Linked DNA regions of Mus musculus: all the other regions are reported to be linked to region 5. The links are microRNA targets in miRTarBase. Many come from high-throughput screens and were not tested one by one. Region 5 holds a microRNA gene; each other region holds the end of a gene's coding sequence.
What was found. Region 5 holds the annotated microRNA mmu-miR-5101 (UUUGUUUGUUUUGCUGAUGCAG, at 1,716-1,737, opposite strand). A microRNA usually pairs through its seed, bases 2 to 8, with sites in the 3' UTR of a target mRNA and lowers its output. Matches are read on the target gene's strand: a 7mer-m8 pairs with bases 2 to 8, a 7mer-A1 pairs with bases 2 to 7 and ends in A, and an 8mer does both.

Region 1: miRTarBase lists Tmed5 as a target of mmu-miR-5101. Seed matches in the 3' UTR shown: 7mer-A1 at 1,477-1,483, 7mer-A1 at 1,499-1,505, 7mer-A1 at 3,595-3,601, 7mer-A1 at 3,607-3,613 and 7mer-m8 at 3,610-3,616.
Region 2: the mRNA of Neurod2 is a reported target of mmu-miR-5101. Seed matches in the 3' UTR shown: 7mer-A1 at 1,056-1,062, 7mer-A1 at 1,062-1,068, 7mer-A1 at 1,278-1,284 and 8mer at 1,281-1,288.
Region 3: miRTarBase lists Rcan2 as a target of mmu-miR-5101. Seed matches in the 3' UTR shown: 7mer-m8 at 851-857, 8mer at 1,869-1,876, 7mer-A1 at 2,720-2,726 and 7mer-m8 at 2,756-2,762.
Region 4: the mRNA of Soga3 is a reported target of mmu-miR-5101. Seed matches in the 3' UTR shown: 7mer-A1 at 3,737-3,743.

What each region holds. Positions count from the first base shown.
Region 1 is chr5:108,120,752-108,125,461 of GRCm38, reverse strand. Tmed5 (transmembrane p24 trafficking protein 5) reads left to right here. Exons shown (of 4, transcript NM_028876.3): 4 at 703-3,906. The coding sequence ends at 921. Among named protein-coding and RNA genes, the nearest start is that of Tmed5, 9.5 kb to the left of the region's middle.
Region 2 is chr11:98,323,128-98,327,837 of GRCm38, reverse strand. It overlaps Neurod2 (neurogenic differentiation 2), which reads left to right. Exons shown (of 2, transcript NM_010895.3): 2 at 1-2,421. The coding sequence ends at 653. Among named protein-coding and RNA genes, the nearest start is that of Neurod2, 4.2 kb to the left of the region's middle.
Region 3 is chr17:44,036,348-44,041,057 of GRCm38, forward strand. Rcan2 (regulator of calcineurin 2) reads left to right here. Exons shown (of 5, transcript NM_207649.1): 5 at 626-3,169. The coding sequence ends at 786. Among named protein-coding and RNA genes, the nearest start is that of Gm34857, 5.0 kb to the right of the region's middle.
Region 4 is chr10:29,198,197-29,202,906 of GRCm38, reverse strand. It overlaps Soga3 (SOGA family member 3), which reads right to left. Exons shown (of 7, transcript NM_026138.2): 7 at 3,277-3,962. The coding sequence ends at 3,852. It also overlaps a transcript of 9330159F19Rik not described here. Among named protein-coding and RNA genes, the nearest start is that of 9330159F19Rik, 11 kb to the left of the region's middle.
Region 5 is chr12:75,906,181-75,910,890 of GRCm38, reverse strand. It overlaps Mir5101 (microRNA 5101), which reads right to left and starts at 1,788; the gene lies at 1,706-1,788. It overlaps Syne2 (spectrin repeat containing, nuclear envelope 2), which reads right to left. Exons shown (of 116, transcript NM_001005510.2): 14 at 4,018-4,180; 15 at 1,945-2,023; 16 at 1,528-1,715.

The DNA.
Region 1 (4,710 bases), not on the chromosome of region 5:
TTAGGTAAAATTGTCAGGACTACAAGAGAGACAGTATATATAAAAGTCCTGTTGCTGCCGGGCAGTGGTGGCACATGCCTGTAATTCCAGCATTCAGGAGGCAGAGGCAAGCAGATCTGTCTGAGTTCAAGTCCAGCCTAGCCCACAGAGCAACTTCTAGGACAGCCACAGCTACATAGAAAAATCTGGTTTTTGAGCTGGATTGATGGCTCAATGGTTAAGAGCACTGACTGCTCTTTCAGAATCCTGAGTTCCAATTCCCAGCAACCACATGGTGGCTCACAACCATCTGTAATGGGATCCGATGCTCTCTTCAGGTGTGTCTGAAGACAGCTACAGTGTACTCATATAAATAAAATATATTAAAATTCTTTAAAAAAAAAAGAAAAGAAAAACCCTATTTTGAAAGAAACAAAAACAAAACAAAAAAAGGCCCTGTGCTATGCTACTCAAATACTTTGATCTTGTTTTTTCGATTTCTGGTTAAAGAATTATTCCTCTGTTAAAGAAATTTAAATTTATCCTTACTATGTTATAACTTCATGGGGGCTCTTTAGATGATACAAGTCATACCTGCCCTTTAATTGAATTGTATTCCCATCTATTTAAAAAATTGTCTTGTATTTTAAGAACTAGCATGAAGCATATTGTTAAACATGTTCTTAGTATTTTTAATAGTAAAATTATTGTATTCATCTCCAGGAATCCATCAACAGCATCAAGTCCAGACTAAGCAAAAGTGGCCACATACAAACTCTACTTAGAGCATTTGAAGCTCGAGATCGAAACATACAAGAAAGCAACTTTGACAGAGTCAATTTCTGGTCTGTGGTTAACTTGATGGTCATGGTGGTGGTGTCAGCTATTCAAGTTTATACGCTGAAAAGTCTATTTGAAGATAAGAGGAAAAGTAGAACTTAAAACTCCAACACAGATTATTTAACATTGAAAAAAAGAGGTAGAAAATTCTAATACACTGTTACACAGTCAAGATATTAGTCATATTTCCCATAACATTTTTAGAAATGTATGTAAGTGTAAGATAATGTAAAATTTATTATGAAAGGAAAATCATTATGTCCAGATAACTTTATTGACTTGTTTTATACTTAAGTATGAAACAAGATGTCATGTAAAATTTAGATTTAATTGAATGAAGCCATAATAACTATTTTCCTAAAGTTAAAAATCTTTCCCAGATATCATATATGAATTAAATGAATTAACAATGTTCATAAACATGCCACCAGTTTGCTTTTACCTAGAATTTTCTCTGTATATGTGGCAGGTACAAGTTAAAGAAGTTTCCAATACCTTACATTAGAAATCATTTGATGGCCGGGCAGTGGTGGCGCACGCCTTTAATCCCAGCACTTGGGAGGCAGAGGCAGGTGGATTTCTGAGTTCGAGGCCAGCCTGGTCTACAAAGTGAGTTCCAGGACAGCCAGGGCTATACAGAGAAACCCTGTCTTGAAAAAACAAAAATAAAAATAAAAATAAACAAAAAAAAAAAAAAAAAGAAGAAAGAAAAGAAAAAAAGAAGAAATCATTTGATAATTATATAATCATGGACTGAATAGATCAGCTTTTCTCTACTAAATCTCTCCAAAAAAAGTAAATACAAGCATACCACTGAAAAAATACTCCTATCATTTTTACAACCAAATATAATGTGAAATATTATCCACAAGTATTAGTTTTTATATACTTAGTCTATACTTCCAAAACCTAACATTTTTATAATTAAAACTGGAAAGGGATTCTTTCTTTATAAAAATTAGACAGTGTCTTTGTCTTTGATATAAGGTATATAAAGGGTAGTTGATGTTTGTGACTGAGATGCATTCTGTCTAGACGTTAGCTAAGATTAAATTAGAGATAAGATGAACTTATTTTTATATTACGCATCAGCAGTGTTAAGTTGGTATTGATAATGCATTATCACAAGCAGGTGTGAGGGACATACTAATGAAAAGATCTGACATCAGTGTAAATAAACAGCTCCTTTCTAAATTCTCAAAACCATCAGAAACATGAAGGAAAAAAATGAGATAAATATGACACCAGATCCAACAAGTTTACCTAGAGAAGTGTAACATCTAGAATCAGGTGGGCTCTTCTTGCTAACCCAATTATAATAAAGATCAGATCAAAGGAGGGTAATCTAAAATTCCCCAGAAGAAATTGTATTTGTCATAGCTTTTTATTCTAATTACTGTTTTTATTATAAATGTTCAGATAGATTTTGTGAAATGTATATTCCTACCATAAGACTTAGCACTAGGTATGCATATTTATTACAGTTTTTATTATAGCTCTCACAAAATTACCTCTGGTCATTTATTGGCTTAGAACAATCCCAAATTATAAACACCTAATGTAGAAATAAAAGCCAATGTATACAAAAACATTCTGCCTTTCTGGTTTATCAGTCTGTAGTACAATTTTATTCAAGTACTAGTGATTTAGGTTTATCATGAAACAGAATTTAAGTTACACTCACTTGTAGTGTTTATAATAAATGTATTGTCAAGTAGAGATAGTCAATAGTCAGATCTGGGTATTGAACCCATATAAACATACACATATTTTTTTTTGCTGGAATTCTTATTACGTATTAATGATCTTGCACTACCCTGCTACCTCACACACAAAATTATGATACCCAGAGAAATACTGATTTCATTTACAATTTATACTCAGAATAGTTCAAAAATATAGTTTCCTCTTTCTCAGGCCCTTGGGAGGAAACTAGAAATTTATTTTTCCCTATCCAGAGGCTTTTCAAAATGTGAGATAAATACTATATGTGATCAATAACTGACCAAGAAAAATGCCCTAGGCTTCTAACCAAGCTCCTACAATAGATGCAGAAAAGAGGCCAATGAGATCGTTGCCTAAAAAAACTCTCTTCCCTACTTTAAGTGCAAGAGAAGCAAGCTCTAGACAGCTATCCTAACTGATAAAGCAGAGTCCACTGCGTCTCTTCTGAAAGACTGTGACTAAGAATCCTACCTCTTAGATACAGCTGATACTGTACTGTGTTCTTAACTGCTTACTTAACACTGTATCTGTTACATCATCTTGTATGTATGGAATTTGTGCCACTGACTTTTTGAATTCTTACTCAGTTACTCACTGCCATTTAAAATGGTCATAGTAGCTTTGCTGGAAAATCGAATAACTTAGGAATGTTAAAAGATTTTATTTTTATAGACAAAAGTAAAAAGATACTAAGAACCATGTTGCCTGTATTAATCATAAAGAAGTAAAATTGTAAGCAAAAACCAAAATGTTTATTTTTAAATGTGTATTTTCTGCTTCATAGAAGTTTTTTGACCTTACTGTCTTAATTATACTAAAATCAAGTAAGCCATCACTTGCTCTGATTTTTGTCTTGTTAATTGTATAAATTACTACAGTAGCTTAACAAGTTTAGAGATCATTGTTCTTAGTTGCAGTTGGACTGTGTGCTCTTTTATATGAATGTCAATAAACAGAGACTAAGTAAGTGTAAGAAGACATTGTTGAAACATAAATCAAAATATACTTAGGAATATTTACAATTAAACATGATGTTTTAAACTTAGTAAAAAACAAAAGCAAAAACAAACAAGTACCTGTAATTTTGTACCTACAGTGAAAATTCTTTATCTGAAATTTTAAAATACATTGATATAGCATGTAATTTTTTTTCTTCTGGAGTATAATACAATGTGGCTCATATGGCACTATATACTATATTTGTGAACTTTTATCTTAAATGAACAACAGACTATGTACTGAGCTCCATACAACTAATAAAAGGTACTATCAAGGAAGTCTTACCAACCTATCATAATTGTTACCTACTCCTTAAAGCTTCTTTAAAAATTTCAATCTTAAGTAAATTTGTTTTTCTTTCACATTTTGAAAGGCCACAGCTATCAAGTTTTTATATTACTGTACTCACTTGGTTTCTCCATTGCTTAAATATATTTTTTACCTAAAGGGTCTTTAATCCCAGCACTCGGGAAGCAGAGGCAGGCGGATTTCTGAGTTCGAGGCCAGCCTGGTCTACAAAGTGAGTTCCAGGACAGCCAGGGCTATACAGAGAAACCCTGTCTCGAAAAAAACAAAAAAAAAAAAACAAACAAACAAAAAAAAGAATTAGAGAAGCAAAGAGCATCAGTTGCCCAAAGTCTGGGTTCACTCCTCTATCCCAGGACGCATACTGGGTATGAAGCACTTGCCAAGCAAGTCTGACAGCCTGTAGTTAAGGTTGAAGGAGAGATCAAATCAGACTCCACAAAGTTGTCTTCTGACCTTCATATGTAAATCACAGCACATACACCCACATGAATACATACAAAAGAATATATATATATTCTTTAGGCTCAGGAAGCAATATCTATTCAAAATATATATACAAGTTATCCTTGAATATTAAATGTTAGCCAGCTAACTGGTCTTGAGAAGTCAAAACTCCTTTGAGGTTACTCCTACATTTGTACAAATAATTAACTGTTATGAATACAGATGTGGTAGGAATGCCTTTAATCCCAGAGACTGAGTGAGGATCTTCATAAATTGGAAGCAAGCCTGTGCTATACGACTCCCTAATTCAAAGAAACCACAAAAGCTGGGTGGTAGTGGTGCACTGAGGAAGCAGAGGAAAGCAGATCTCTGAGTTTGAGGCTAGCCTGGGGGTCACCGGTTTGCTGCACTGGC
Region 2 (4,710 bases), not on the chromosome of region 5:
CCAAGAACTACATCTGGGCTCTCTCGGAGATCTTGCGCTCCGGGAAGCGGCCGGATCTGGTGTCCTACGTGCAGACTCTGTGCAAGGGGCTGTCACAGCCCACCACGAATCTGGTGGCCGGCTGCCTGCAGCTAAACTCTCGTAACTTCCTCACGGAGCAGGGCGCGGACGGCGCCGGCCGCTTTCACGGCTCGGGTGGCCCGTTCGCCATGCATCCGTACCCATACCCGTGCTCCCGCCTGGCAGGCGCACAGTGTCAGGCGGCTGGCGGCCTGGGCGGAGGCGCGGCGCACGCCCTGCGGACCCACGGCTACTGCGCCGCCTACGAGACGCTGTACGCGGCGGCCGGTGGCGGCGGCGCTAGCCCGGACTACAACAGCTCCGAGTACGAGGGTCCACTCAGTCCCCCGCTCTGTCTCAACGGCAACTTCTCGCTCAAGCAGGACTCGTCCCCCGATCACGAGAAGAGCTACCACTACTCTATGCACTACTCGGCGCTGCCCGGCTCACGGCCCACGGGCCACGGGCTGGTCTTCGGCTCGTCGGCCGTGCGCGGGGGCGTCCACTCCGAGAATCTCTTGTCTTACGATATGCACCTTCACCACGATCGGGGCCCCATGTACGAGGAGCTCAACGCATTTTTCCATAACTGAGACCTCGCGCCGACCCCTTTCTTTTTCTTTGCCTTTGTCCGGCCCCTTAGCCCCAGCCCCACGAGCTCAGGGGCTCCCACCGACTCCAGAGCCGGGCGCTCGAGCGCGGGCCGCCGGTTCTGCAGCTCTCCAGAGCGGCGTGCTCTCTTACCTGTGGGTGGCCCGTCCCAGGGGCCTCGCTTGCCTCTGGGGACTCGCCTTCTCTCTCTCCCCAGCGGGCTTCCTCCTCCCTTCTCTCGTGGAGAGCATCTCTGGGGATCTCCCGCCAGGCCCTCCCAAGAGACTTCCTCCACATTCCCAAACTTGGGTTTTCTCTCCCCACCTCCCAACAGGCCAGAGGCAGTTGGTAAGGGGCTGCTGAGTCTCGGGATAGTGTCTCCCCCACTTATAGTTACTTTAAAAAAACAAAAACAAAACAGACACAGAGCTTCCCAGGCCGAAAAGAGTTGGTATCTCTTCCTTCTCGAAGAGGCCACAGCCAGGGAGCCCAAACGCCTTCACCCTAACACGAATCTCCGCGTTTTTTATTTTTTATTTTGGTGGGAGGGGATGTGGATTGAGAGGAAAGAGAGAGGCCAAGCCAATTTGTAACTAGAACCATTTTTCCTTTTCCCTTTTTAAAGAAAACAAACAAACATACAAAAGGAAAAAAAAAAAAGAAAGAAAGAAAGAAAAAGGAAAAAATACTGAGAGGCAACGGAGGCCGAACTCAGAGTCCGGATCGGAGAGAAAACGCATTAAGAACTTTTAGAAGCAATAAAAGGCAAATAATAATAATAAAAAATACTACCAATAATAATTTTTAAAAAGACACAAATATCTATGCAAGGAGGTTCTGACTGAGCCTAGCAGCCTGACCTGGGTGCTCCTCGGGTCTGCTGGCTGCCCCGCCCACGCGCGGATCTGTGCACTTTGGTGAAGTGGGGGCCCGCGCCGCCCCTCCCCCCCCCCAGTTTCTTACAATCAATGACTCGGAGATTTGGAACCCCAGTGCCACTGCCCTCCTCCCGCCCTGCCCCGTTGTGCGTCATACTGTTTTCTAAAAACCTGTTTCCAAATTTGTATGGAATGGCAAACTGTTAGGGGGGGTCGGTTTGGGGAGGGAGGGTTTGCATGAGAGACACCACACACGCACACACACGCGCGCGCGCGAACACGCACACACACACACACACACACACACACACACACACACCACACCGCACGCACACGCAGGCCCCGGGCGTCCGGGGACAGAAGGAGCTGTCTACTGGTACCTCCTCTCTATAGGCACTCTGGTCCGTCCCCTCTTGGGGTAAGGTGGAGGAGCCCAGACCTGGGAACAGCCTTACCCTTGTCCAGACTGTGCCTCCGTGGGCGCCAAGCTCCTGGTGATTTCTGGTGGCTAGAGAGGGTTGTTTTGGGTTTTTGTTTGTTTGTTTGTTGGGGGGGTTGTTGTTGCTTTTGTTTTTTGTTTTGTTTTGTGTTTCGGTTCTAGGCTCCTCCTGACTTTTGTCATCCAGTGAGCTGGGAGAACTGAGGGCTCCTCTGGAGGTTCCCCTCGCAAGAGGCAACAGGTGAAGCTCCCCCCCCACCGGAGGCAGGGAACCAGGCACCCAAACACACGATGCAAAAAACGCAAACCCACAGGCGACACACCCCACACACGCAATTTTACCTTCCTCTTGTAGCGAAGATGAAACTCCTGTCGGACACCCGAAGTGCATTGCGTGTTTCTGTTGAGTTTAATGACGATTAATAAATATTTATGTAAATGAGATGCAAAGCAGACCCGCTTTCTCACAGTGGCCTCCTTTTATGGGTGGGGGCAAGGACTGATCTGGGGCTGGAGTGATTGAGGCTATGTCGAGTGAATGACTGCTCAGAAGCTCAAGAAAATAACTGAGGGCTTTCCTGGGTGGGGTTTCCACACTGCAAGACCTACACACACACACACACACACACACACACACACTCACTCACTCACCACAGTGGGCTCATGAACAGTCACACTCACTCGCTGCCCCTCCTAGGCCCCACCCAGATTTACATAGGCACCCAGCACAAAGCACCCCTGCATTCTACTTGCATCCATCCAGCTCCCCCAAACACCTAAGGATTTTCTCTGAAAACAAAACATCTTTCCATCAATGAACAGTTATCAAAGCGGGACCATCCCACCATTTTACAACCCTTGACTTACTGTTACAAAAGCCAGAGGAGTGGAAATAAAGAGAACCTTTGGGGGGCAGACATGGATATTCTTGAAGAGAGAGAGAGAGAGAGAGATCATGAGGATAAAATATTAATGGAAACAATCACCTTTCTATCTTAAACTTCTGTTTCAGTGGGTTCAAAGGAATGGACCCTGGACATTTTGGGGATGTGAATAAAGTTGGATGCTGAATCTGAAGGGGGCCCCTGGTTAAGGACACGAGCAAAAGGGGCAGCACTGATTAATGCCTGCACAGTCTGTTTTTCTGTTGCAGTTCTAGAAAAGGGGGACCTTGATGGAAAGCACTCAGGAGGACCACTTTCACTTGTACCTCATCATTTTGTTCCCCATAACCCCTAGAGGCAGAGACAGCTTGGCCAAAGGCTTTCCAGAAAAGATGCCTCCTCCCTCCTTAGACCCCAGTGCCTATCAGAGCTCTGAAAAATTTGAAAGGGAGTCTGGGTCCTAAAAACTTGCATCCTAGAACCTGAGGAGACCTAAGGATTCCCCCCGACCCTGAAGAACCTTCCCTTGGTGCCTTTACCCGTCTCAAAACACGATCATTTTAGGATTAAAGTGAGGTTGAATGTAATATTGTTCAGGGTTGAGGTCAGATATGCTAATGGCTCTTAGGTCCATGACCCAAAATGAGATCTTCCTAACAGAAGCAGGGAAGAGAAAGGAGGGAGTCTGGATGCCAAAAAGGAAGCAGACTAGCGGCAACTGAGCCCAGCGGCTCCACTGAGTTCCCACACCTAAAAACAACCTCTTGTGGCCTCTATGCAGTTGCAGGCTGAGGGACTCCGGGAGCTGTCCACTCCTAGGTGCTGACCCGTATTTAACATTTTTCCTTCTGGCTGCCGAGGGAGACTACCGCCTGGGACTAGGGAGCAGAGCCCATCGAGTTCTCCTGCAGGCAGACTTCCTAGGAGACATTCACTGTTAAGCCTTTTAAAATGTTTGCCGAGTTCTCTGGGCTTCTCTCAGGACCACCTCTCCAGAGTGAGAGTGAGCCCTTTGTCATTGGGATTCTTCCCCGTGGGTGGCTAATGAGATCTAACAGATCTCTGAATGACTTTTATTCTTGAGAGAAAGATTTTGGTGCATCTTCTCTATCCTCCACTTCTGTGGGGGAGTTGAGAAGCTTGCAAGATACACATTCTGACCCTAACCCAAGGAACCGGTCTGCTCCAGGTGCTGGGCAGGGCCTGGCAGGGACACTTGGAAGAAAAGGAATTGGGCATCGTCCCAAGATGTGGCTCTTATTCTGCCCTGGAAACAAGGTTAATAATTGGGCTTCTCTCCCACTCAGCTGGTTTCCCAGAACTTGCTCTGAACTCCAAGCTGGGCAGGATCCAGGTGGCTTGGGGCCGGATGTAAAGGACCCCTCCACGTGGCTCCCTGGCTAGATCACAGACTCTCCTACATAGCTCTTTCAGTTACCGCACACTGTTCTGCTCTGTTCTGAAGTCAGTTTACAGCTTCTTGGAAAGGTAGTGACTCTTGGGCCATGGCATCTATAGGTCAGGCCATGTGGGGACTCAAAGACCCTTTTAGGGGCAGGGACACTGGAGCCCTTGCTTCTAATGAATCCTGCCAGCAGCCCAACTCCAATCCCTGACCTTCCCCCAGACTCCCTGCACTCTGGCTGACTCTAGCCTCCCGCCACAGCCCTCCTCCCCAACACCACACTTAACTGCCCTGGTGAGATGGTAAGATGAGCAGGAGAAGAAGATATGCACGGACACTGGGCCCCAGACGCCCCCTCACAGATCTCTTTCTCTCGCTTGGCTTGCCTGAACACACATCCTGAGAAGCTCTACGAACAGAAGTGGGAAGTGGGGGGGGGGGGGGTTAGGGAGA
Region 3 (4,710 bases), not on the chromosome of region 5:
CCCAAAGAATCAACTAACTTAGGCTCACAGGGGCTCAGAGAAACAGAACTGACAACTAGGGAGCCTGCATGAGTCTGACCTAGGTATGTGTTATAGTTGTAAAGCTTGGTCTTCTTGTAGAACTCCTAACAGTGGGAGCAGGGGCTATCTCTGACTCTCTTGATCTTTTTCCTACTACTGAATTGCCTTGTTCAGCCTTAATTCGAGGGGAGGTGTCTAGTCTTATTTGACATGCTCTTTGGTTGATATCCATGGAAGGCCTGCCCTTTTCTGAAGAGAAATGGAGGGGTAGGTGGGGGAAATGCAGGGAGAGAGTGGGGGAGAGGAAACTGTGGTCAGGATGTAATATATGAGAAAATGAATTTAAAAACACCTTCAGCCAGGCTCATGCCTTTAATCCCAGCACTTAGGAAGCATAGGCAGGTTGATCTCTGTGATTGAGGCCAGGCTAGTCTGCAGAGTGAGTTAAAGGACAGCTGGAGCTACACAGAGAGACCCTGTCTCAAAACAGCAACAAAACAAAACAACAACAAACAACAACAAATAGACAAAAAAAAAAAAAACCCCAACCAACCAAACAACAAACCTCTGTCCCTTTTCTCAGCCAATGTCTCTTGCTTTTCAGGAGAGAAATATGAGCTGCACGCTGGAACTGAGTCTACACCGAGCGTCGTGGTGCATGTGTGTGACAGCGACATGGAGGAGGAGGAGGACCCAAAGACTTCCCCAAAGCCAAAAATCATCCAGACCCGGCGTCCCGGCCTGCCACCCTCCGTGTCCAACTGAGCACGTCCATGATAACATGCATCTCCTCTTATCATGCTTCCCGCCCCCCCCCTTGTTGTTTGTCCAAACAATTAATTGCCTTTAAGTCCCTGGGTGTTTGGTTGTTTGCGAATCCTTCCTTGTAATTAAGCCTCTCGGACAAAAGGGCTAGGCAAAGGTGATATGTCTCCCAATCAACTCCTACCCATTAACTACAATCCATCACTTAGAAAGTTCTAGATAGAGGGTAGTATTTTCTTATTAAATAATCAGTACAGCCCATATCTCTGTTCTTTCATGTTGATCCAAGCCAGAGACATCGGTAATGAAGAGCCTTTATGTTGTTTGTGAGCTGCTCCAGTTCAGTCCTGTGTGTGTGTGTGTGTGTGTGTGTGTGTGTGTGTGTGTGATGTTTTTTTCCTGGCCACTTATATAGGACCATAAGTAAACTTGGCTTTGACTGCATGAGATCCCCCTATCTGGTCTCACCCAGTCCTCTGCATCCCGACATTCCCAGGACATGCACGATCACCAGCATTGATTTTGATGATTTTGAGGGTATGCCCCAACTTGTGGTATCCCAGCCCTGTCCTGTATAGACAAGGGGCATCCGCAGCACCATTCAGCTCAATAAGTCTGGGAATCATTATTAGTTTGAGTCAATTACATCATATAACTCTGGCCAAATTCCTGGAGGTAAAATTGAGCATGGCCCCAAAGATGTTGAACATCACTACCACAGAGGTCTACCCAGTGTTACTGGGGAGGCTTGTCCAAGTGACAGAGACCGATTTCAGACAAACCTATTTATTATAAAATCTCATAGTGTCTGAATGACTGTCCCCTACCCCTTTGTATATTTGTACAGATGTTTGAGCTGTGCTTTTAAAATCTGGATGTTTTTTATTTAGTGATTGTTCAACCATTAGCTGCTTAATGACATCATACCTGTGTTGCTTCTGAATGCATTCTGATTCTAATGTAGATAACCTGATACTATTACATGCTATTGCGGTTCGTGCTAAGTTGTAAAAGGGAACAGCAATGTCTCATGCCAATAGATAACTGACTAGCCAACCTTTGCTGTCCAAACCACCTGTTTCCAAACAAAGATCCAAGTATCAGTTATAAGCAACTTGGGTGACGCTAAATCCAAGAAATGTATACAGCTGAGCATTTCAGAGCACAAAGGATGATGGGTAAACGGATGCCCTTCCCATTCATCCAATGCCCATGCGCTCAAAAGTTCCTTGTTTTTGTTATGTGTGACTTTTGTATATCTCTAGCCCAAAGTGCATTACAGAAGATACACCTGCAGAACCATACTTTCTGCTCCATGTGTCAAGCCTCATCTATTCCTGTTCATTAACTAGTAACTTTGGATGCAAATACCATTTACCACACAACAGGCAAGGACTTTCATGGCCTAAGCCTCGGAGTAACACACAAGAACACTAACACAGCCACCTGATGGGGGGATAATTGTGGTTTTTTGATTAAGGTGTATGTTAGTTTCCGCAGAAACTTCAAACCTAGACTGATCATTCAGAAAATTAAAAGTCCGTTCTACTGTGAAATATAGCAATATAGTGCCGGACACGGTACAGTACGATTGAGACCGAGGACAGTATTGCTTGTGGAATCCTAAGTTTCCATGGGGAAAACAAGTCGTCTTTTCAAAATCAGATCTGAGGAGTGTACACAGTAAGCAAAGGCTTTGACTTTCCTTTGTTGTGGAAGGTTTTGTTTTCTTTTTTTTAAATTGGCCATGGAAAGACTAGAAATAGTGGCGAGATGATGCCCTCTCGTGGCAGAAACAGTGAAATCGGTTGTATAGATGGATTGATTACAACAGTCAACTACCAGGGGCTGACCTTCTAATCCACATTAACTTTCAGGATGCAGGAGAGAGAGAGAGAGAGAGAGAGAGAGAGAGAGAGAGAGAGAGAGAGAGAAACAAAATGAAAGTCTGGGAAATAATTTGCGCTTCCAAACAATGATAGCAGAAATGTCTAATTTAGTAAAAGTTGAGTGTGACTACCTTGCATAGTCCTTAAGAACTCAGTGTTCTAGACGGCCCAGATGATTAGTCTTAGTAAACTGTATTGCCATCTGTTGACGTTAACCTGCTACAGATCAAGGGGTTCTCGCGCTAGATTGAGCATGGGGACGGGGGAGGGGGAGCTTTCCCCAGAAGGAATGGGGAAGCCACGGGACCTCCCAGCATCGAGAAAGTCACCTGGACACTTCCATGATGCTCATTATGCAAACCTCTTTAGCGCTCTTTTAAGTTTGAAACGTTTTTAAATGGAGGGGAAGGGGAAGGTTTCCACCAACTGAATCATTTGTGCACGTGTACAGCTCAAAGAGCTTAGAGTTCAAATATATCTGGTGAATGACTGTCTGTGTGGCATCATTTCTGACTTGTCTGCCTGGACTAAGGATCCCTGAGGCTGGGGAGGTGGGGGAGTGCAAGCCAGCTTGGAGTTTTCTGAAGGGTAACCAACGTATGGAGCTAACCCAATGATATTCTTCCTAATGAACTAGGAGGGAAGCTGGTAATAGCATTCCCATGAAGAAGTTATTTAAGCCAAGCCTGGAAAGATGGGTTGGCTTCTCATTAAGGGGGCTCAGAAGGTTATTTTACTGTCAAGTTCAACCATACTGATTCCAAAAGGCATTTCAAGTGTGCTAAGAACACCTTTTTAAAAATTAGATATTTTCTTCATTTGCATCCCAAATGCTATCCCGAAAGTCCTCTATACCTCCCCCCCCACCCTGCTCCCCAACCCACCCACTCCCACTTCCTGGCCCTGGCATTCCCCTGCACGGGGGCATATAAAGTTTGCAAGACCAAGGGGCCTCTCTTCCCAATGATGGCCGACTAGGCCATCTTCTGCTACATATGAAGCTAGAGCCACGAGCTCTGGGTGTACTGGCTATTCATATTGTTGTTCCACCTATGGGGTTGCAGACCCCTTCAGCTCCTTGGGTACTTTCTCTAGCTCCTCCATTGGGGTCCCTGTGTTCAGGACTAAGAACATTTTTTAACACCTTCCCACTATGTTCTTTAAAAACACTAACAGGAAGCCCTCTGATAGAGAGCCCTTAAACAATAAAAGAAATGCTCGTGAAATATAAAAGGTTTGCTTTCTGGAAATCATTAAGGTTAGAGCCGATACACATGGAGGAGTTAAATAACTCACAGCCAAGCAATGGTTCTCAACCTCTCTAACACTGCGACCCTTTAATACATGTCTTCATGTCTTGGTGACACCTAACCATAAAATTATTTTCATTGTTACTTCCTAAGTGTAATTTTGCTACTGTTATGAATCATAATATAAATATCTGTATTTTTCCAATGTTCTTTAGGGGGTCAAAACCCACAAGTTGAGAATTGCTGCTCTAAAAGCCAGTTGTAAAAGACATACAATACTTTCTTTTTGATGATTAACCTACATCGGGCAATTCACATAGATCCATGTGCCTTAACTATCTGAAGGCCCATAAACAGTCAAAGGTGCTCCACCTCACCTCTTGTCAGTCAAGAAGAAACCTCAAAGGTGAACATACCTGGCCTCTAGCAGCAGTGAAGTGTGCAGAACTAGGGAGTCCTGGGAAGGCAGCAGAAGAGGCCCGCATGAAGAAGACACAGTGATCATCTGAGAATGCTTGGGCAGTAGCTAACAGCACCATGGGCATGCCTGGCTAAAGCTCTTGCACTCTGAAGCACATAGAGGAAAGCTCTCATATCAATATAAAAATATGTACAAGGCCCAGAGAAGAGTGACCAGGAGCTATTAACGTTATACAACTCATATGTCCTTCAAGTGTTGAATGCATACATAAAAAAACCTGATGCAAGTAAGAGCATAAATATATTTCAAAGTTATATATGTATATGTATATATACATATAGGTATACTTTTTATATAACTTAAA
Region 4 (4,710 bases), not on the chromosome of region 5:
TTCCTCAGAAAACTGGATATAGTACTACCGGAGGATCCAGCAATACCTCTCCTGGGCATATATCCAGAAGATGCCCCAACTGGTAAGAAGGACACATGCTCCGCTATGTTCATAGCAGCCTTATTTATAATAGCCAGAAGCTGGAAGGAACCCAGATGCCCCTCAACAGAGGAATGGATACAGAAAATGTGGTACATCTACACAATGGAGTACTACTCAGCTATTAAAAAGAATGAATTTATGAAATTCCTAGCCAAATGGATGGACCTGGAGGGCATCATCCTGAGTGAGGTAACACATTCACAAAGGAACTCACACAATATGTACTCACTGATAAGTGGATATTAGCCCAAAACCTAGGATATCCAAGATATAAGATACAATTTCCTAAACACATGAAACTCAAGAAAAATGAAGACTGAAGTGTGGACACTATGCCCCTCCTTAGAAGTGGAAACAAAACACCCTTGGAAGGAGGTACAGAGACAAAGTTTGGAGCTGAGATAAAAAGATGGACCATGTAGAGACTGCCATATCCGGGGATCCATCCCATAATCAGCTTCCAAATGCTGACACCATTGCATACACTAGCAAGATTATGCTGAAAGGACCCTGATATAGCTGTCTCTTGTCAGAGTATGCCTGGGCCTAGCAAACATAGAAGTGGATGCTCACAGTTGGCTATTGGATGGATCACATGGCCCCCAATGAAGGAGCTAGAGAAAGTACCCAAGAAGCTAAAGGGATCTGCAACCCTATAGGTGGAACAACATTATGAACTAACCAGTACCCCGGAGCTCTTGACTCTAGCTGCATATGTATCAAAAGATGGCCTAGGCGGCCATCACTGGAAAGAGAGGCCCATTGGACACGCAAACTTTATATGCCCCAGTACAGGGGAACGCCAGGGCCAAAAAAGGGGAGTGGGTGGGTAGGGGAGTGGGGGTGGGTGGCTATGGGGGACTTTTGGTATAGCATTGGAAACATAAATGAGCTAAATACCTAATAAAAAATGGAAAAAAAAATCTAGCAGACAGGTTTGACTTTTTAAGGTGTGTGTGTGTGTGTTGTTGTTGTTGTTGTTACATGACTGGTTGGTTTTGAATCAGTTTCTAACTGTAACCCAAGCTGGCTTCAAACTTGCCATGGATTCCTTCTTCAGTTTCCCATCTGTTTTGACTATAGACTTGTGCCACCAATTTGATCAAATTCAGAATATTTCTCCCTTGTTTCCTCTTTTCTTCTGAAAGCCTACCTAATCCTTAGTCTTTTGAATTTCAAGATTAAAAGCCAAATGTGGCTGGACATATAGTTCTAAGGTAGAGCATTTGCCTGGCATATACAAGATTCTGGGTTCCATTACTAACACTGAAAAACCAAAGAGAAAACATCCAATCAAACAAAATCTATTTATTGACTGATTCCAAGTGCTGGTAACTATTCACTAGACAATACTTTTCCTCCCTGACCTCCAAAATAATTAAAATTAAATAAACAAAGTAAAAAGAAAATCCCAAGCATAGAAAAGATAATGGACATTAAGAGCAGTTAAATTAAACTTTTCAACTGCTGTGAAACTTTCTAAATTTAAATGTGTGTTTTTGTGTATGTGTGTGTGTGTGTGTGTGTGTGTGTGTGTGTGTGTGTGTGTGTGTGTCTACTGCATGCATCCGAGTGTGCAGGTACATACACTTATGAAGGTCAGAAGGGGATACTATGTGTATGGATGTGAAGTGTGTGTGTTGTGTGTACTATATGTTGTGATTTGTATGTATAGTGTGTTGTAGTGTTATGTGGTGGGTGTGTATGTGTGTATATACAGTTACTATATATATATATGTGAGCATACACACACACACATAGTATGGGTATCTAGTGAAAGACAGAGAAGGATGTTGTTTGTGGTGTGTATGTGCACATATGGAGGTACTGCATGCATGTGAATATGTAGGTACATGCATTTATGAAGGTCAAAAGGGGACGTTATGTATATGTATGTATAGTGTGCATGTGTGGTATGTGTGTTATTTGGTATGTGTGTTATGTCTTGTGTGTGTAGTAGGTGGTATGTGTGTGCACATAGTATGTGGTGTGTTTGTATATGTGGTGTGTGTGTAGTAGGTAGTGTATATGCATGTAGTATATGCATGTGTTTGTGTGTGTGTATGTAATATATGGTATATGTATATACTGCATGCATATGCAATGTATGCAAGTACAAACACTTGTGTAGGCCAGAGGAAGATCTTGAATGTCCTCCTCTAATATGTTCCTCCTTCTGGCCTTGTTGCTGCATGCCCAGCCCCAACGCATAGCCACACACAGCTCTTTGTGTGTGATCTCCTGGGGATTTGAACTCCAGTCCTCATGCTTGCATAGCAAGTTCTCTTACCTACTGAACCATTTCCCTGCAAAACATTCCTAAATTTAATATTTAAAGAAAAAGTGGATCTGCAGGGAAATGAAATAAAACACTTTCCTGCAGATGAAATTCCGGGGATTCCAAAGGCCTACCTGCACACTTTTTAGCTGGCAAACTTTTCCACAGGATCTGTTTCCTGTTGTACAGATACATCATTTTATCACAGGTTTTTGTAAAGACTAATTCGTGAACTAAGAAGAATATGATTTTTCTTATTCTTTTTACTTGAGGTCTGGCTAGATAGCTTAGGCTGACCTCAAATTCACAGTCCATTTGTCTTACCTTCCCCAGTATTAGGATAAATGCATCTCAGACCAGTGCTGGAATTCTGATGTACTCTGGGATTACGGTGGGTAAATTACCAACAAGATGGGCAGAATAGAACCTTCAGTACATAGAGTCCAACCAGGTGGCTTTAGATATATACAAGACAGGGACGCTAGGGGTCACCAAAGTAAGTTTAGGTCTGCAGAGTGGCTTCTACTGGGATGATGCTTCGGGTATGGATTGTAACTCAAGGAAATTCTGGACATTGTATTTATTTCCCTTCTCAAGCTGTTTTTCATATTGTTTCTAGAAGGTTTTCTGCAAAGAAGGGAGTTCTCTGTGGTAGTTAATCATAGAAAAGAAAGGACTGCAAGCAACATGGTCAGTCAGTGATACATGGCTTCACATGTAATACAGAAGTGGAGATAGCTGGGTTAGTGAAAAGTGGGGAAAATTCAATAGGAGGGGACTATTTAGTTTCTTATTAAACCGAAAGGTCTTTAGATTTAGATTCATGCTTCCAAACACATCTCTGGAGACAGACCATGTCAGGGTCAGAACATTATTTACTTTCCAAGAGAGCTACATTTTCTCATTTCATATTTTCAACAGATATTTATTAGACATTGATGTTTTCCTTTTTGTCTAACATGAGTAACAGCATGCTTACAAATCTACATAATTTATAACAGAGATAATTTATAAATCATCTACATTGACTTATAATTAATGCCTCTACATGAATTTGAAAATGCAACCAGCTGAAATTTTCCAGGTGTAAAATAATACTCAATTCCTACAGAATAATTATGAGACTTTGTCCATTTTTCACAGTCAGCCAGTCAACTATGACTCAAGAGTGCAAAACAAAGAAAGGTATAAAGAAAGGCAGAGAAAGACGAGCTCCACAGAACTCTGATAACTCACTTTTCCTTACCTGAAACACTTTGGTCGCTGGGGTTTCCTAGTGAATTTGACAGTGTAAGATGAGTTGTGTCTTTTTTTACAGAGATGTGCAGTCTTCAGTGTTTTTTTTTTTTTTTTTTTTTTGTTTACAGCATCAGCTACTACAGAAATGATACTTCTTTTATGTCTTGTCTTGAAGGGTGGACAAAATAAAAACAACTGAAAACACTACAACGGACAGCAAACGATGGAAAATTTACAGTACAAAAAACAGTGTAAAAAGGAAGACAAGTTTAAATATTGTGGTGTAAGACAGGGACGAGAACAAGACGAGGATGAGGATAAGCAGAATGATGGGCTGGAACATCTGCGGAGGCAATGTGGGGACAGAGAGAAGAGCCAGTTAATAAGCACTGTACACCTTCCCCACAAATCCCAACTCCGACTCAGCCTCAAACAAAGGCACCCCCAGCCTACATCTGTAAATTCTCCAAACAGCTCTTTCTCTCACTGACAGATATACACCCACCCAAGAGTCTAGCTGAAAACACATGCTTGCTATTCAAAAACCTGCAAACTGAAAACCAAAAACCAGTCCTAAAACATACTAAGTAGAAAAGGATAAAATTTAACGCGGTGAAACGCAATAGGTTCCATTATAATCCCTCCCCCTCTCCCTCTCCTCCCGCCCCACCCCACCCACCCCCACCCCCGCTGCTGCCAGCAAAGCATAGCAACATGCAAGATAAGCGACAGGGCTGTAAGTTCTCTAGCCATGGTCAGCAGCCAATTCCTCTAATGTCATGCTGCTGCACATAAACTGGGTTTAAACATGGAAGTGGGGCAGACTCCGATGTGTTCAAAGCCATGCATGCTGTTGTACTTCTGTGGGTTCTCCGACGGATACAGGGCATCAGGCTGCTGCAAGGGGCAGTACTGCCTCTTTTGGTCCGTAAAGATCTTTTATGTGGTTAACTTGGACAAATGCATTGATCTTTCAGTGGCCACCATACCTGGCCAAAGCTGCTGAGTCCAATTCATCCGCTGTGCTTCTACAAGTCAGGAGGGAAATGCTGCTTTCCCCTGTGCTGGAATACTTATTATTGCCTTTTTCA
Region 5 (4,710 bases):
CTCTTAGAGGACCTCCCAGCTTGTTTTCTGGGGTTGCTGCCTAGCAGGTGCTCGACACTGTCCTCCTGGCCCAGGACTCTTCAGAAATGCCTGGTCAACTTTTCTAAGTATCTGATAAACTAACAAAGGTTCTTAGATTCATCTGATTAATAGAGGCCATACCACTCTGGTAATGGTTTCAATAGAGGCAATATTGCCTTGATACTTGATATTTAATATCAAGGCCAAGAATTTCCTAAGTCATCTAGGGCAAATATGTAATACTGGCACAGTGTCTATGTGATAGATGCTACCAAGTCTCCTGTAAAATTCAAAGTCTCTTTTAAGATCTCTGGAAGCCCAGAGTATCTCAGCAGAGTCACATTCAAGACGGCAACTTTCCCCAGGTTTATGTACATTTTAATATCAGACCCTGAAAGACAGAAGAACTATTGAAAACCAATGGTATGAGCTTATAGGACCAACCCAGGTGACAGGGAGACGAGGGAACTTTCTAAGTCTAAGGTGCTCTCTGTGCACTCCTATACTCCCTGCATTTCTTCCATACCAAGAGCCTACTGTCCACAAAGTAATTCTGCTCCATTCAGAGTGAAAGGCTGTCTTGGTCCACTTTCAACTACAAAAGCGAGTGACAGAAACACATGCTATTTCCTAGCTGGCATACAAAAATAATAGTTGCACTGACATTCCTTCCACACATCTGATATTAAAATATACATAACTCAGAAAATGCCATCTTGAACATACAATCCCGAACCTCTGCCATGATGCCAGAGATCTTGTTAGAGCTTTTTAACTCTGGCGTGGTCTCAGCAGCATTTATCTCCTAGAACCCATGCTGCTACTAAGTTGTGGAACTAGAAACTAGATGACTTAAATTGGGACGTGTTAAATAATTCTTGGCCTAGAGACTAAGGAAAACCATCATGAAGGTGGTATTAGCCTCTATTGATCAAATGAATCTGGGACCCTCTGTAGGAGGGAAATTCAGAAAAGATGTAGGGGAAAAAGGTTTTAACTAAATGGAAAATTGTAATTCTTAAAAACAGTGATTTAGGTAGGCATGGTAGGACATGCCTGTAATCCTATCAGAAAGGAAGTCCCATGAAAACAGGAGAGTCTTGACTCTGAAGCCAGCCTAGATCATATAGCCAAGAACCTGTCTCCAGGTTCTTGATAGAGTGATCCAAAAAAAAAAAAAAGCTGTATTATTATGTAAACGTGTGTGTGTGTGTGTGTGTGTGTGTGTGTGTACAATTCAAAGGAAATACTCTCTGACAATTACATTAGGAAAAAACTAAGTTCTTCCCAAATTCTTGAAGAATTTTCTAGAAGATATGTTTACTCCTTTGTTGACACTCAACTTTTGGACTCAAAATGGGCTTCCAAACAAAAAGAAATAGAAAAGTTCATTCTAGCTGGACATGGTAATGCATGCCTTTAATCCCTAACTTGAATGGTGTATGTATGTAGTCAGTCTCCAAAAATAAAATGTAAAACTGGGATAGAACCATTGACTTCAAATACCTCTTTAATTTGTTCCTTCTTTGTCAAGTCAAAAGAAGCCTTTAGTAGGGCGAGATCTTCCTCGAAAGTTGCCCAAGACATCAGTGCTCTTTGCAGTGTGGCCTTCGTGTTATGGATGTATTGTCTGCACGAGTGAACATTCTTTTCCAGCATCATATACTCCTCTCTAATACTCTCACATTCTCTGGCTGCATCAGCAAAACAAACAAAAACAACAAGTCTTACAAAACGGTTTTTGTTTGTAACTGATACTAAGAAAATTATTTGCATTAACCAACAAGCATGTTGCCTAACAATATTAAAAGCAAAAGAAAGGAAAGCAGGGATGAAAACAGTTAATGTCCAAACCATCAAAGTAAAACAATACTCATCTTGAAATGATAGCTGACCCATTAAAAAGCAACTAGGATACTTTACCCGAGTTCTTATACATTTCTTCACATTTTTGAAAAGAAGCATCAAGTTGAATTAGGAACTTTTTTTCTCCAGTAAATTTCTGTGAAGGAGAGGCAAAAAAATGTTGACAGATTTTACTTTTGAAAATGTGCCAAGAAATCCAGATGTCAGTATGTGATGTCAGTAAAGGGCAAGGTTGCCAGCAATGTTTGAGTATTCAATACCACCACACTGCAGCAGCAGAAATGGAAGGAATGGTTCAGGAAGGGTGGCTAGGACTTAGGAGATGCAAGAGCACAATGACACAGGGCTATCACAGCAGATTCACCTTAACATAGCCATGTGACTTTACACTGCGTCCAGCTGATGGGAAAAAGCAAGTTTATCAGTCATAGCAGATCCAAGCCTTCCAGCTCGTCCGTCTTAGTAACATTGTGTAACTGTGTCAATAGCTTAGGCTTCCCAGGCCTTATTCACACTAATTAGTAAGTCTTCATTAGCTACATTAGGTTACTTTTTCAGAAGCTATCCCCACCTGCACAAAGAAGGCTGTGAAACTATCATTAACTAATTCAGCTGTGGAAAATCCTGGGGCTAACTCAGAGCCGACTCTAAACCGCCTGTTTATTATATTAGCGGTTCTCAACCTGTGGGTTGCATAAGACCATCAGAGAACAGATATTTACATTACAATTCATAACAGTAGCAAAATAACAGTTATGAAGTAGCAACAAATAGTTTTATGATTGGGGGTCACCAAACGTAAGGAACTGTATTAAAGTGTTACACCATTAGGAACGTTAAGAACCACTGATTATATTCTTATTTTGTGCTAGCTAACTACTATGATTACTGAACCAGTGAAATGTAAATCCAAAGCTGGGCATGATGGCACACTCCTGTAATCTAACACTTACAGGAGAATCGGGAGTTCAAGACCAACCTCATTACATATGACCCTATCTCAAAGTACAAATGAACAAACAAAAGCCCAGAAAAAAAAAACAAAACAAAACTTCAGAGAAGACAAAAAGTTATATGTAGTACTGTTCTCCATGTTTTATATATAAATAAAACCTAGCCCAGTTTAGAATGATGCCTCCAATTTGGAAGAGCATAATATTTAAATGATCAATTATAAACAGATATGTATGTCTTCATCATCCTCTTCCATTTCCTTGAAACTTATAATTTTGAGTTTTTCAAGTCTCCCCACCCTCCCTTCCCATAAAGAAGGCGCCCCATGGGGTTTCCATCTGAATTTCTGCATGGACACACCTATGCTTGTAAGGACACGCCTATGCTTTTGGTTTTTGTGACGGGTTTTTCTTTGAAGCATTTAAGCCATTTCCTACTCAAACTTGGGTGAAGGGCAGCCAAGAAGGCACCACAGTGCATAAGGCACTTGCCACCAAGCCTGGAGGACTGCATTCGGTCCCTGGGACCCACGTGACAGAAGGGAAGAATTGACTCCCACAGGATGTCCTCTGACCTCCACACGCATCCGTGGCAAGCACCAAAGTAACTGAAACTATATTTTTTTAAATTTCAAAATAAAACTTGAGGGGCGGGGGCTGGAGAGATGGCTCAGTGGGTAAGAGCACTGACTGCTCTTCTGAAGGTCCTGAGTTCAAATCTCAGCAACCACATGGCTCACAACCATCCGTAATGAGATCTGATGCGCTCTTCTGGTGCATCTGAAGACAGCTAGGGTATACTTAGATATTATAATAATAAAAAAAGAAAAGAAAAAAAACTTGAGGGGCTAAGACCAAAGTTTTCAAAGAAAAGAGAACCGTTGAATGGAAGCATAAATTGAAAAAAAGAACAAAAGTAAGCAAAACTTTGTAATGGGAAAAGACCACAACGGAGCCTTCTTTATGGCCCTAACCATCCTAACTCCATCTTGACCAAGGCAATCCTCATCTTCTTACTCGTTCTCTAGCAGCTATTTGACCACCACTGATGGTTTTCTCCAGGGAAACTGAAGCTAACGAGGCCTACCAACAAACACCCAAGCCCAGAAAGGGAGAATCCCTGAGCTAATCCAGACAGCAGGAGAGGGAAGCAGACGCCCAGCCCGCAGCCGCTCACATGCCAGTCTTCCAGCAGGACTTCCACAGACTCCTTGCTCTCATAAGTGCCGTTCCAGACATCCAACTTGGCCTTCGCTTCATCAAGCAAAGCCAGAACTGAGCACTTAGAGTCATGAAACTCCAGGAGTGGGATGAAGTTTTTACCCAAAACGTTGTTGATTCTGGAAAACAAACAGGTTTTAGAATTGACCAAGTGTCAGAAATCTGTTTGGCATTTAAAGAAATCCTGTGATTTAATTTTTCTATTCAAACACATGAAACTCAAATGTATCTTCAAGAGTGTCCCCAGCCCTGTGCTGTGTGTGTGTGTGTGTGTGTGTGTGTGTGTGTCTTTGTGTGTCTGTGTCTGTGTCCTTCCATCCTCTCTTCTCCTTTTAAAGTCATGTGAAACAAATGCTCTGGCAAGATATAAAGCAACATTTCTAAGGTAAAAATGTAACAGAACATTTTCTGAAGAAATTATTCTCTTATTGAGAAATCCTGTTAAGAACACCCTAGAAATTTAGTTTTTAAATCTTAGGGTTTAAAAACTTCTGTATAATCTGATGCAGCTACAATTGTTTAAAGCTTACATATGAAGCCAGTTTCAGTATTAAGGCTAACATTGTCTTGTTATTGCCATAAGCTACTTATGAGTAAAGAAAAACTAGAAGACAATGTGGACAACAGTCAGTTAAATGACTTTTCTACT